Linked DNA regions of Lepisosteus oculatus. The protein of the gene in region 2 purifies or fractionates together with the protein of the main gene of each other region. This does not show direct contact. Links are inferred from orthologs where the notes say so. Each region holds a gene or a part of one and is shown on either strand. Other genes may lie near its edges.

The links. The genes of interacting proteins can lie anywhere in the genome.
Region 1: the proteins of fbxw7 (region 2) and kdm6a purify together in Homo sapiens (affinity purification with mass spectrometry; 3 studies listed by BioGRID and IntAct, with this or other methods). This does not show direct contact. The link is inferred for Lepisosteus oculatus from reciprocal best matches to the Homo sapiens genes FBXW7 and KDM6A.

The regions. Positions count from the first base shown.
Region 1 is NC_090710.1:3,601,569-3,608,573, reverse strand, and holds the start of kdm6a (lysine-specific demethylase 6A), read left to right. Parts: upstream 1-3,998; 5' UTR 3,999-4,363; coding exon 4,364-4,536; intron 4,537-4,718; coding exon 4,719-4,782; intron 4,783-7,005. UniProt on the Homo sapiens protein: Histone demethylase that specifically demethylates 'Lys-27' of histone H3, thereby playing a central role in histone code. Demethylates trimethylated and dimethylated but not monomethylated H3 'Lys-27'.
Region 2 is NC_090696.1:25,227,662-25,234,589, forward strand, and holds the start of fbxw7 (F-box/WD repeat-containing protein 7), read left to right. Parts: upstream 1-3,912; 5' UTR 3,913-3,927; coding exon 3,928-4,080; intron 4,081-6,928. UniProt on the Homo sapiens protein: Substrate recognition component of a SCF (SKP1-CUL1-F-box protein) E3 ubiquitin-protein ligase complex which mediates the ubiquitination and subsequent proteasomal degradation of target proteins.

The sequences.
Region 1 (7,005 bases), on a different chromosome or scaffold from region 2:
AATACAATAAATTGTATATGGCCAATAAAGTGATCTTATTGTCAACAAAATCTTAACAAGGACATCCATGAATATGATTAGATGTTAATCATGTAACAAAAATCATATTTGACATTATAGGTTGCTTGTCCGACTGTTTGACAGTGTATCACAAGCGAATATGGACCTGGATTCTATTCTCCCACATAGCTCTAAGAACACTTTGCCTAAGCTATTTAAATGACAGGTATGCTGTAATACATGCTCTCGATATGTGCAAAAAAATCAAGAAATATGGAAAACTATGTGCACATAGGTATTAAATTACCTACATGCATCATATAATCTATCTCCTAACATGCCCTTCATTTACAGCAGCACTCCAACAGAAGGAAAAGGACTGATTTTTTTGCATGCTATGTCTACTGTTACCGATACGACCCTGGGGGCGGGGGTGGGAGGGGTTTTTATGTTTGTGAGAGCCCCCCATTGCCAGGGAATCCAATCCAGCTGACAATGAGGTAATGAGCCTGTGTTTAAAGCCGGCCTGAAAGTTGATTTTGATTTCTTGTTGGGCCTATCTACCTCCCTGAGAATGTGGACTACCGCTTGCATAATTAACACAACAACAGCGCTGTGGACCACTGACATTTTGTTCATATATAGAAACGACAACCATGGTTCTTGGACCCTGAGGCCATGTAACTCATAAAGCCTTCAAGGTGGTTTTGTTTGCACAATCTGCTGGACACCTGCAGTGCTTGGTTAACTTCCTGGGCGCCTTGAAAGCAAGGCTGAAAGTGCTTGCCTGAGTGTAAAATGTACTCGACGATTACGGATTATGATTATGGACGATTACGGACCTTGTTCAGGTCACTAGCCGACTGTGACTGGGATTCTGGGCTTATGGTACGGGACAAGAGGAGAGATGAGATGGGAAGGAAACAAAGCAAAAGTGCACCCAGGTGACAAAACTAGGCCATTTTAGGCCTGTGGTTCTTTTCCTTGCCTGTCATGATGTGGGTCATGATTTAATCCCCAGCTGTTGCAGCTTTTAGGACTTGGGGTTCTGAGCCACGGAGAATAATGTCTCTTCTGATTTTCATTCCTTCCAAGTTCTTAATTACAGGCTTATTGATGTGTGTTTTCAACCTGTAGCATTATCTACATTATTAATTTTAACTCTTAAAGGGTCAAATGGGATATATAATTGGTTTCATCCCTGTGTCATTTTCTAAATTACAAAACATCCCTCTCACACAAAACTGGCATAAATCAGTTAGATCTAACTGGATCAGTGCAGAAGAAAGAAACGCTCACTGTGGGCGTTCATCAGCAACTGGTCGACTAGGAAGAGACCTTTAGTAAGAAACAATGTTCTGTGTACTGGAAGTGTTGGAAGCAGCACCCCTTGAGCTAAATAAAAATCTAAACAAGCAGGCAGATCCAATAAATCACCAATCAGCCCCTGATACTTCGAGTTCAACTGGAATATAATACAGAAGAGCGTTCCTCCAGAACCAGGGCTGGGAACCATTGGTTGAGGTATATGTATCATTTTAACACATACATTTTAACACAATCGGCTGTTCTCACATGTAATAAGTGATTAAGATTTCCATTTGTTTAGAGCTCAGCAAAGACCTCTACCTATTTTCCATATAAAAAATTAATCTATATGTTGATGGACCTATAACACACGCAATTGATTTTACATAGATGTTCACACTGCTGCAGTTCTCCTTCTTAATATTTGGATTCTAGTACACAAGAAAAATACTCAAGGTGAATTTTATTTTTCTTAAAAAAAAGGGTGGCAAATGTTTATTTAGAGAAAATCACTCAATAAAGTCAAAAATAATAACAGGCAAGTTGAAGAGTGTTCTGCTTTCTGAAAGTATTGGAAACAAGTTAAAGAATTTCTATACTGCAGAAAGAATTCCTAGAGTATTGATTAATCTTAGTATAACTGAGAATGAGGTATTGCTGCAAGCGGAATGACTACAATTTTTCACTTCCTCTCGGCCTGACTATTTTCCCAGTAGTTCTTTAGAAAAAGTGTCTGGATTGTTTCATAGACCTTTTACCAGTATAATTCACGTCATTAAGAATCGCACCAATTTCAGAATTGCAAATGTAACACCAATGCATAAAAAGCGGGACAAAATTAAACTAGGAAACTATAAGTCAATCAGTCTTATTTATGTTGCTGGCAATGTTACAGAAATGATAGCTGGAACTGAACTAAAAGAATTATTTAAAACATTTGCATTTTAAGAGACAGCCAACATGGATTTAGATGAAAGCCTCATTTAATTTACCAGCGACAAGGACAGTTGATCCACTATTGAAACCACTATAGAAAATGACATATTTAGACTACCAGAAAGTATTTGACAAGGTCGCTCATTAAAAGCTTTATTAAAAAAAACTCAATGTAAAAAAACGCACATAGATTGAAACTGGTTTAACAAACAAGAATTCTTATGCATTTATCCATCCTAAAATGCATAACCTATGAAAGGGGCTGATATTTATTTTTTATGATTTGTATAAGCAATTTGGATTTTGATATTAGCTAACAAAACAGTTAATGGTTGCATGACACAAAAACACAAGTGGCAAACACACAAACAGCAGCAAGAGAAGTACCAAGGGTTAAAAAAAATGGATTGGATTTTATGAAATTTAAAAGTAACATTGAAGCACAAACATTTACTATGCATGTACATCCCACATGGGTGATTTGGAGCTGCAGGGAGTTACACAAAAGAAGCATCTGGTTGTTTATGTGAATTATTTTTCAGCTACATCAAAATAACATGAGGAAGCAAAGAAAAGTTAATGGAATACTTGGGGTGCATAGGAAAAAGTGTGGGATTCAAACAGTGTAATTATGAACCATCTTTAAAATTCTTTAGTAAGACATCTACAATATTCTAGCTCCTAGAGGCAATTTGCTACAAGTATACAAAACGCCAAGGGGTTTAGATAAGACTATTTTTCAGGTATTAACAAAACCAGATCACAGTTGAAAAAAAAAGGAATGTATTGAGAGGAAAACAGGACCCATTTCTCCAAACTTGTGTCCAGAGCATATGCTCTCCATCCTTTTGTTGAGAACAAAAGTTATGCCTTTTGAAAATAAGATCTCAAACAAGGATGGACACAACGGCCACCTCTTGCTTGCAGCTGTGCGTACAAAGCACCATATTTCACTTTACTGTTTCTTTACGAGTTTCACACACTCACGTTTTACGCTGCCTTTTGCTCAGAAAGGGATGAATTTCCAAGTTACACATTACAGATTGCTTTACTAATATCGACGGCACCTTCAGTTTAAAAAAACTCATTTTAAATCGCAATCTGTGTGGGAACCATGAAAACGAACGACCCCCCCCCCCCCCCACAAACAAAAATGGGTAAAACAAGATAATGGCGTTTTTGTTATAGTGAAAAAAGGGTTTCTAACTGCACAACCGCAGTTTGGCACTTCCCCCTAACCGAGCATTTTACTGAATCAATAACCAAGAAATAACTTCGCCTTTTACACCGAGCATTTTACTAAATCACGAACCAAGAAATAACTTCGCCTTTTACCATCACAACCAGCGCACCTCAAACTATCTACGCTGTAACCAAAAAATGGGGCACAGTCATCGCAATTACTCGTATATGTAGCTGGACCTACTAACCTGCTGTATAATTAAGGCCGCCTTTTGCAATACCACACGGAAAATGGCAGGACTCTCATCCAATCGTGGCATCGGAAAGGTAAAACGTCACCCTATTGAATGGACTGCCCACCAATCCATGCGAGAGGGCAGAACGAGCGAAGTTGTGTGTGTTTTTTCTATCCTTGCCGTTTTGTAAGTTTGTATGAGAGGCGCGGAGCTCCAGAGAAAGGAACCCCAAGACATCCACAGACAAGGCTGGTCACATGACGCGGCGGGCGCTCCTCATTGGCTGCGGCAGGCAGAGGGGAGGGCGTACCGACGGCGGCGGCGTGGGTTCGCCTGTGTGACACAATTACAACAACTTTGAGCTGGTGGTTTGGGGGGAAGTTTGTGATATTAACCAAATAACACCCCGTTTTGAAAAACCCCGCATTCATAGCACTCCATGCACAACAACGCTCTCGGTTGCATACAGATATTTTTTGTATAAAACAATGTAAAAAAAAAAAGAAGACCATTTTGGAGGGTTTCTTTTTTTTTTTTTTGCTCTCCTGTAAAAAGGATTTACTGTTTATTTTTTTTTTTTTGCATTTTTTTTTTTCAATCCTGGAAATAAAAAAGTTGGTTTTCCCTCTCCCGATTTTTTTTGGCTTCGCTGTTTTGTTTTGGTGGAGGTTTTTCGTTGGCTGCCCCCCCGGTGCGTTCCCATGAAATCGTGCGGAGTGTCGCTCGCCGCCGCCGCCTGCGCTGCTGCTCGAAGTCTCGGCGCTACTGCTGGTGATGAGGAAAAGAAAATGGCGGCGGGAAAAGCGATTGAAACCGAAGAGGACTTTCCGAGGCTGACAGCGCAGGAGAGGGACACCCTGGCCGGGATAGACAGGTCAGAAAAGGGCGCGGTGCGGGGAAAATGCCGCTTTTTCTCTTCTTCCTGGCGTTCCGCGGTGGTGGTGGTCTTCTTTTCCCCCCCCAAAAAAACGAGTGAATTTAAACCCGCTTGGTTATTTTTTGCAAAACCTCCCGAGTTAACGCGGAGCCGCCTGTGTGTTGTTTTCTGTTTTACAGCCGGCTGTTTGGATTTCAGAGGCTTCATGAAGATGGCGCCAGAACGAAGGCCTTGCTATTAAAGGTATTTGAAGAATATCGGACCCGAGAAGGCCTTCCCCCCCTTAAACTCCCGTTAGTGCATTTTGTACCTGGGAGGCACCTAGTTTAAAGCGCTTTAAGAGAAAAGAGGTCGACCTCATGGCGATGCGCCCCCCGTGCATTAAAAATTGGTGTGTTTTGCACCCTCTCCCCAGTCTTGCACATTTGCAGAGCTGTGGGAGATCGGGAGTGGGACTCTTATTTTGGGGCATTTAATTTTTCAGGGTAGCAATGTTTGCAGCGGTGACGTTGTTAGTGTTATTGTGCGTGTGTGTTTTTAACATGGAAAAGTAGTGACTACATCAGGACCTTCGTGCATCTCACCAGGCTGCGCGGTTCCGTTTCCCTGTTTTTTTTTTGGGGAGGGGGACAGTTTTGGCAAACTGGTCCTCGGATGTTGATGTAGGATCTGTAAAAATGGGTCAGTCATATTTGGGAGCCACGTCCAGTTTGTGGCGATATTACGGATTGTTAGATGGCTGTGCGGTTTAGATTGCAGTTGGATTTGTGTTATTGAACCTGAATTCGCGACGAGGGGAATTAGGATCTTTATTTTAAATCCTTTCACCGCCCCCCCCCCCATGACTTTAGCTCAAGCTAAAAGCAGAAATTGTTGCGGTTATTTGGTGCTTTCCAGCAGTTGCGTTCCCTGGATGTTATTTACATGGCCGTGTCGTGCAGTTAGCTGTACCCGCCACCCAGCCGTGCCTGTCGTCGCGGTTTGCTTGACAGTAAATAAGTAAAAACTTGTTGACCGTGTTCGTGTGGAAGGGATGCTGTCTTACGAGGGGGGGAGAGGGGGTTTGCGACGAAGTTGTTGGTTCTGTTTTTAAACATAGTTAGTAATGGCTGCTTGAATCGGCCCAAGATGGCGGGACGGGGAGGAGAAAAAAGTGAGAGAGAAATAGAGGCAGGGGAGCTAAATTATCGAATATATCAAGCCTGTTGAGAGACATTGGGCGGCGAGTTCGGTTTCTCTCCGTTTATTTTTATACTTTTTACGTCGTTTTCACCCACGGTATTTTGCGTTTTATTTACAAAAAAAAAAACCCCGACGGGGACGGCTTGCTTGTGTGCTGCGTTTGCTGTGCGCGTGCCACCCCCTGCTCTCGGCACCTATCGCATCATCAACCTGTAGCACATTGGACACCGAACAAAGGCTACCGGGGGGTCCGTTTTTGGAGGTTCCCATTTTTTCCTCACTCTAAAAGAATGCACGATGCAGGTGCACAGTTTTTGCAAACCCCCCCCCCCCCCCAGTCTGTTTCACTCGTCTGTTGAGTCGTGCTCAGGAGGTCTGGAAGGTCTGGGCCTCTTTCGTGTGCCATGATATTATATTCTTCGGGGTGAGGGTGCCTTAAGTGTAGACCCAATTATTCATGAGGCAGGGCAACTTCAGTTTTTTTTTCCCCCGCGCAGGCTGTAACCAATGCGGTTAACGTTTAGTTTCGCTATGCACCAATACTGGCACGTATGGTGCGACTGAACCAGTTTTGAAATTCGTGGACTTGTGTGTGAGAAATACGCTCTTGTAGGATTTGTCCTCATGCCCCGATATGTAAATTAAAAGGCGTCGGTGGTGCTCGAAGCCATTGTTTTTAACTACGGATTGTGTTTCCAGTTTTAGGGTTGTATTAACGATGCACACTAATTCTAGTCAGAGTAGGATATCACTTCCGTATTTGGGAATCTATAAACGAAACGGAAGGATAAACATTAGGGGAAAGATGGGCGTCATTTAGTCACACAAATGTCCCTTTTATCGAATTGTTGTTTTGTTGCGTGTTTGTGCTTGAACGCCAAGCCTTTGGATTAGCTTTGGTGAACGTTCACTTTAAATGAGCCCAGAATTTGGGGTTTTATTTCCAGGTACAATTTTGCCATGTTGTTACTTTTGCTGTCTTGGTGAAAATAACCTCGCAGGTTTTATGGTTTCAAAAAAGATGTGTGGATGAGGCAGCAAAACCTTACTGCAGAACAGTGCGAACACGTTGGTAGAAAATTATTGCTGTTTGACCAGGAGTGTCTCTTCATAGCACATTGAGGTCCTGGGCGCCTGGAAAGTGTTGATTCTCTTACTGTGTGTAGTTTTCATTAAAAGTTTTAAATGTAAAACTACTGCTACAGTGGTCTTTATGAATCATTGGTAGGCCACCAAATGTCTGTGTTAGTCTTAAGCAATAGGGAGGATGGGATTACATTAAAA
Region 2 (6,928 bases):
GGCCATGTGGGGCGATCCGGTGCGGTATTGCACCCTGCTGATGAGTCAGCGAGCTTGAGAGGTGCCTTTCTCTGTGTAAGCCTATTGCACGGATCTACTCTCTTCTAGCGGTGGTCTCGGTAAAACACAGACTAACCTCGGAGACTGATTCGATGCGGCTGCAGTGGAGGTTTGGATCAATCAAGCTGTTTGTGAAGAAGCAGGAGTGACCGGGGGGCAGGTCGCCCTTCTGTCCGCGCCTCTCCTCACCTCGGCTGGCATCCTGTTTGCCGCGCTCGGCCTGTGATTGATGAGCTCGTAGCTTTGTTGTGCGGCGGTATTAATACCGTCTCCCCGGCCTTCTCCGCGCCACAGACCTGAAATGCATTCCTCACTCTTGCAGGACAGCCTGCTATTAAAATCCTGCGATTGCAGCGGGCTCTGAGCACACATCCTGTGCTGATCGATAATGTATTGGAGAGCTGACACCATGGAAAACAATATTTCTAAATAATGAATAAGGGACCATTTGACCTTGTTTCTCATTCGAGGCTGTGGAATAGGAAAGTTGGGGGGGAAAATTGAGCTGCTAAAGGATGGGTGATGTGCTCAGATTAATTTGGAGTGGTGTTCTAGTTTAAACAGAATATGTTGACAGCATGAGAAGTTGTACTTTCTTTTGACCTGTGTGGGAACACAACTGTGTGTTCAGAATTCATTGCTGTTTCACACAGCAGTTTCTTAAGGCTGCTATGGTTGAAACTGGTAACCTTTTCAGGGTCATTGTGTATTAAACTAGTGACCGCTTGCTTTTTCTTGTGCTTTGGAGACATTAGTAATAGGAAATGCTGTTCAATCAGCTGCTTCTTAGATGGATGGGATTTGAAATAATGTGATATGTTCACAGATCTGTGATCAAATGTTTTTGTGAAAAGGGGTAACAGTCGAGTCCCAGTCATTTCCCAGTTATCTTTAATTATTCCTTGTTCATTCTAAACTAATTTTGAAATTAAAATTAGGCAGTTTTTTAAAAGGATTTTTCAGTTACAGTGATTTTTATTTCCCATGCCCAATTGATCATGGATAAGGTGTCTGTGAGGTATTCCTTAAACTGGTTACCATTTTTTGCTGGGTGTAGACCCCTGTCGTTTTAAATGCACCGAGCAACATAGCACATTTATTCACTTTTATTATAATGCTTCAATACAAATGGTCTCTTAATCCTTTAATAAGAGCATGTGTGATTACTGGATACAGCCTTATTCAAGTACGATCAGTTTTGTTCTCAGTGTGGTCTGGCATAACCTATTTACTGTACTGTTGGTTTACTGTTGGTTTAAATGGTTGTTTGGTAGGGATCTGTACAAGCATATTTGTGTAATATGGACATATGCATTTCATCACTGATACACGTCATGTAATTATTGCCTAAACCACACTCATACTGGCACTATACAGTAGTTTAAAAATTGGAAAGATTCTGATCCTCATGCTTTAGGATTTGAAAAAAAGATTAAGTGGAACCCTTAAAATTCCTTATTATCTTGAAGAGAAAATTCATACTGTGATAAAAAATAATTCGGTTTTTCATGCACAAAGTACTAATTTAAATAAGATGGGCAGGCCTTTAGAAGCTGTCCGAGGTACTGCTACAGTACCTTTAATTTAAGTAACCTGTGTCAGTACTGGATGGAACATAAGGCAGCATCCCTATCTCAAATCCCTGTTTTACATTTGTTGATGGGAATTTCAAAACATTTCTTAAAAATGGACTATAGCATCTCTTTAAAGCACCTTTATTTCTCTGTCAGTCCACTCAAATGGTTAATATACGGTTTCCTTTTTTCATTAAATGTCTGAACAAGGCTGTCATCAGCTTCTTTTGTACACTCTGTTTTATGGTAATAAATCACTCTGAGAGTTCTTGCTTTCAGCGATAGTCTTGCCTCTTTTAGCAGTAAAGCCAAGCGTGTGCTGGATCTAGGATCTGAATGAAGACAGCAGGAATTGAGACAGAGAGGGGCGATCGTTCTTGGCGCAAGTCACCTCCCTTCAAGTCTCCACGCGATCCTGTCAGACTCGGTGCAGCCTGCGAGACAGCATCTTGGATTTAAACGGGAAAGAGACTTTCTGTGCTGTTTACTTGTTTATAGTCCAAATCCCAATCTGCGGCTGCTGTTTACTGCGAGTGGCGTAGGCTGCTGTGTAAATCTCTTGGGACTTCACCAAGAACTCTGACAGATTGAAATCGGAAAAGACAGACAGACACCTCAAGTGTGGAGAGAACGTCCTCTTTGTAGGAGTCAGTAGTAACACTGCTTACCTGGTTGGAACAACTGTTCAATTCAAAGATAAAAGAAAGACCTGTGAGCTCTCCTGTCCTGTGAAAAGCTGCCCTCGTGTTTTTTAGCTTCAGCATCTAGATCTGTCCTTTTACCATGAAACTATTTTAAACAGGCTCCTTGCTGAATGAGAGTACATTGCTATTTATAGACCGCTGGCAAAGTGCCACAACTTGAACCACGATCTTATTTTTCAGCTACTGTGCCTGCTGATGCTCATTTTCTCTGTATTTCCAGTCATTATGTTCGGTGCTTTAAGTCTTTTTATCACTTTATTTGTTTTTGTGACCTTGATGTCGGTATAAATATATGGAAATGGGCATGAGATCGCAGTTTGGAAGAAATGACTTTCTCTGGAGTGTCAAGTTAGACCTCTGATAAGGTGAGCCCCGTGCCTTTCAAGGCTGCTGAGGTGAATTAGCAGGATGCGGAGCAGGAGGAGCAGCTCGGAGCACTTTAGTGGTTAAAGTAATCTGCTTCTGCTTAAGATCTGCGGGTAGCTTGGCTCTTGTTCACTCCGTTTCCTTTTTCTTTGGGTTGTGAGGTTATGCGCTTGTTATTACTGTAAGTAGCAGACATTGTTACTTTGGCTACAAATTGAGCTGCATAATCCTTTTTCTGTTAAAAGGAACATGTGATGCTATGCAGGCAGTTCGGTATTGGGGGTAGCATTTGCTGTCTTGTCACCTGCAAGCTGAGTCGCTTGGCCAGAGTGGCGGGCAATAATGACAAACCGCGGCAGAGAGGAGCCTTGATTTAACTCTTTGTTTGCTGCTTGCTTTTAGCCATCTGATGCTTGCCACTTCGAAGCCCAGGAGGGAGTCAAGTGGCTTGGTTTCCTCGCATGTCATTATGGCTGCTGGGTGATTGACGGGTCCCTGGGAGCGTTAGTGTCATGAAAAGGGCAGCAGGCTTGATTGGCGAGCCGGAGGATTTATCCGGGGCTCCTTATTGCTTTTCAGCATCAGAAGAATGTAGTAGCAGCAGACACAGCAGCAGCTAGGAAGGAGAGGAAACGGCAGCAGCATCAGTAGCTCCTCTGGCTGGGCTTAGAGGGATCTGTAGCCTGGAGGAGGAGTAGAAGGAGAAGGGGTGTGGCTGGGTGCTGGGAAAGGAAGAAGGGAAGTCGGAGTGTGTGGGGAGGGGGGGGTGTGGGGGAAGAAACAGGTTGAATGGATGGAGTACAGTAGCAGCTGAGTGAAGATTGCCAGGAGTAAGGTGAGGTGTGCTGGGCCTCACAGGGAACCCACAGAGCGGTACCTGCCTATGGGGGAAAAACAAAACCTGCCTCTCACCTTGGATCTCAGAACTTCCAAGTTTCACCCAGGGGATAATTCTGCTGCTCGGCAAGGAGAGGTTCTCACTGGGAAGCATCAGGTGTTTTGCTTGCTGTGTGGCATGCTGGCTGGGGGCCAGACGACTGTAGCAGGGGATGTGAGCCGTTCCCAGAAGTGGGGCAGCTGAGGCAGAGAAGCGAGCTTTGGAACTGGGCATCGGCAGCTTAAAGGAGAAAGAAAAGAAATTAGGAAAAGAACTAAAAATAGAAGCAGGAGCCTCGGCAGCGAGCATCCCTTTGACTATTTTCCTTGGAGCAGCACAGCCCCTGATGAGCAAGTCAATGTGCGGCTGTGGCTGCAGCATTATCTCGTCCTTGATGAAGAGGCTGGGCCGCTCCACGTGCTGCTCTGACCTGCTCTCCTGCAGCCACACCTCAGAGCACCTGCAGCGGCTGGCCACCGGATGTCCCAAACAGCCCAAGGTAAAGCCGCAGCAAGCCAGCGTCCGCCACTGTTGCTAAGGGCTCTCATCGCGCGAGTCCCGCTAAAAAAAACAACAACTTTGGGGTTGTGCTGTTTTCGGACACGAGTTTGTTCATTTCGCCATTGTGCTGCGAATATTAAAATAAGGTCGCAATCGGGGAGGACGTATACATGATCGGTTAATGCCTGACCTTGCAGTAACTATCCAATATCATTTTGCCATCATCAGGCAGCGTAGCAATGGAAATGCACTGCAGTAATTGATTTTGTAATGGGATCAGGTGATTTACTGGCTGTCCTGGCAACTGTAGGTTTGCTTTGAACCGGTGAGCGCTCTTAATGGATGCTTTGAGATTTCTAGTGGTCTGCCGCCTCTCTGCTGCTACTCATTGAGAGAAAGGAGTGAGTCTTTTGTCAGAGGGAGAGACGAAATGAAACAAGCTGTCCATTTGTAGCGGGGTTGTTTGATAATTGTCTGCTGCTTTTTGGGTCACCAGCCTGAAAAGGGGCAATTATCAACCAGCCATGATGTCTAGGAAACTGCTCTTCTTGTTAGTGTTGGGGTTTGCATACTCAGCTCCTTGTGCTTCATGAATGATACATTTATGTCTGTGTGCATATGTATGTTGATCTTTCTGAATTGTTATTGTAAATATTCAGAGATTTGACTTTGCCATTCATGATTCAGTGAAAGCTCCAAACAGACTTACCAGAGCAATATGGGAGTGAACATGAAACATATAAGCTAATTAGTATTTAGAGCTGTTAAACGTCTTTCTGTTTACTTTAAAAATAGATTTTCAGGTTTTATAGTCTCTGTTTAGGGCTTCTAAATGTTTTATCATATGGAATATTGACTTTTTGCCCCCTTCCTGGGTGTGGCCAGGATTTGTGTTCTAGAATGAGTGCAAAATTGAATTTCTGAATTTCTTAGTTCATAAGAACTGTGTTTTAACTTGTACGTTTTCCTTTAGCTGTCTGAATTCAGAAGAGATGAATTCATTTTTTTTTTTCAAGCTTAAAAATGTGAATTGTGTTAATCTTGAAAATTTGGCACATGGGTCTTTGGCAGTGAATCAATCCTCTCACCCTACCATCTGAAAAATCGCACCAAAAGAAATCAACTTATGTTTTTTTTAGAAACATAAAGCATATGGGTGTTTGATATTTCCGAAATGTTTTGGTGTTACTTTGATTGTTCACAATTGACTGTGACATAGTTTTTGCTTATTCCTTAGCGTCTGAGGTGTTTGCTATCGGGCATTTATAACCTGGCAAAACACCACAGAGAAGCACAGTCTGTCAACAGTAAGCCGTGATCTTCGAGGCCACTAAACACAATCTGGATCAGGGGGTCCAGCTGTCATGGTCTGAGGAGGACTGTTCACTACAGAGCTCCACTTGTAGTGATTGTTGGCAGTGTGTATGCACGGTGCTGTGGTGATCAAGTTCCTTACTTGCTGCCCTGCTTGTGGGCTCACCCTGACATGACAAGATTGTAACCAGGTGAAGCACCTTCTCATGCTACTAGTGTGCAAATAAGAACGAGACAGTGATGGCATGGATGCCCTACCTGATAGACTTGAGTCCCATTGAATGTTTGTTCAGATGAATTGGGATAGTGAGTGGTAACTAGGGCTCAGAAACAAGAGAAGGGACACGTGCTTGTCCAGGTGGTATAAGAGAAATGGGACACAATCACAGAAGACAGCATCTGCAACCTGCTGCATCATGGATACCCTACTCACCATACAGTAGCCCCACTGAACGTTTGTGGGGTGACCTGGCATCTAGGGTTCAGAGAACAGTGAACAAGCGATCAGTGAACTTGTCGAATCTCAACACAATTCCACAAAACAGCATCTGCAACCTGGCTCTAAAAATGTTGCAGTTTTGTACTGCTTCGTGTGGTGTCCACACGCTATTTGCATGTGACTGTAACTCCTCTGTTGATCAAGCCTGTTGAGGACAAACGTAAACTGAATTTCCAGTACTCATGTCATGTCTGTTCAGTCATGTATCATTGCCTCAAGTCATTCTCCTGATGATGTTCTAGCTCAGCATACATTATTTCACAAAGGTAAAGACTATACATCCAATGGGCAATGTAAACTACACTCTTTTTTATTCTTTATCATCCTTATTCTTAAACATGAAGCCAAAAGAGCTCAAATAAAAAGTGGATTTTGTCTGATTTTTATTAATTTTGATGTCATAAAATCTCCTAAAGATGAATGACCAATGTTTGAAAATGATTGATACCCAATGATTCAAAGACGCAAACTCTAATTAGAAAGTGTAGACTAAATTGTTTTTGCCCCTTTAGAAAATCAGGTTTAGTGTTAACTTACATTTTATGGGACAAAAGCTCTTCATCCAGAGGGAATGAAGAAAAAAAAAGTTAAATAATGAAAGGCTTTTTCACAGAACCCGTCATGTTTACTCATCTAAGTATTAAAACTCTGCATCAGATTGCATCACTTTGTGATACATATTAAATATATTATTTGAAAGTTAGTCTGTCCATTCTCATTGGCATTGTGGTGTCACTCCAGCCAATCAACTCCGCGTCTGTCAGTGCACTTAGGGAGGAATCTCACCTGACTGCTGGAATAAGCAAAGAAAGCAGAAGGGAGATTACACAGCGGATTTGTGAAAGAAACTGAAGGTATTAACAAATTACATTTTAAACTGCTAACTTGTTTCTCTGATTCTGTAGTCTTGGATGTTAGTTTTGTTTTTGTTGATGAAAAATATTTGACATCACCTCTCCACAGTGCATACTGTACTGTACAAATGTATCCCATTTGAACCCGAAGCCCTCTACTTCCCCAGGCTGGACAGTTG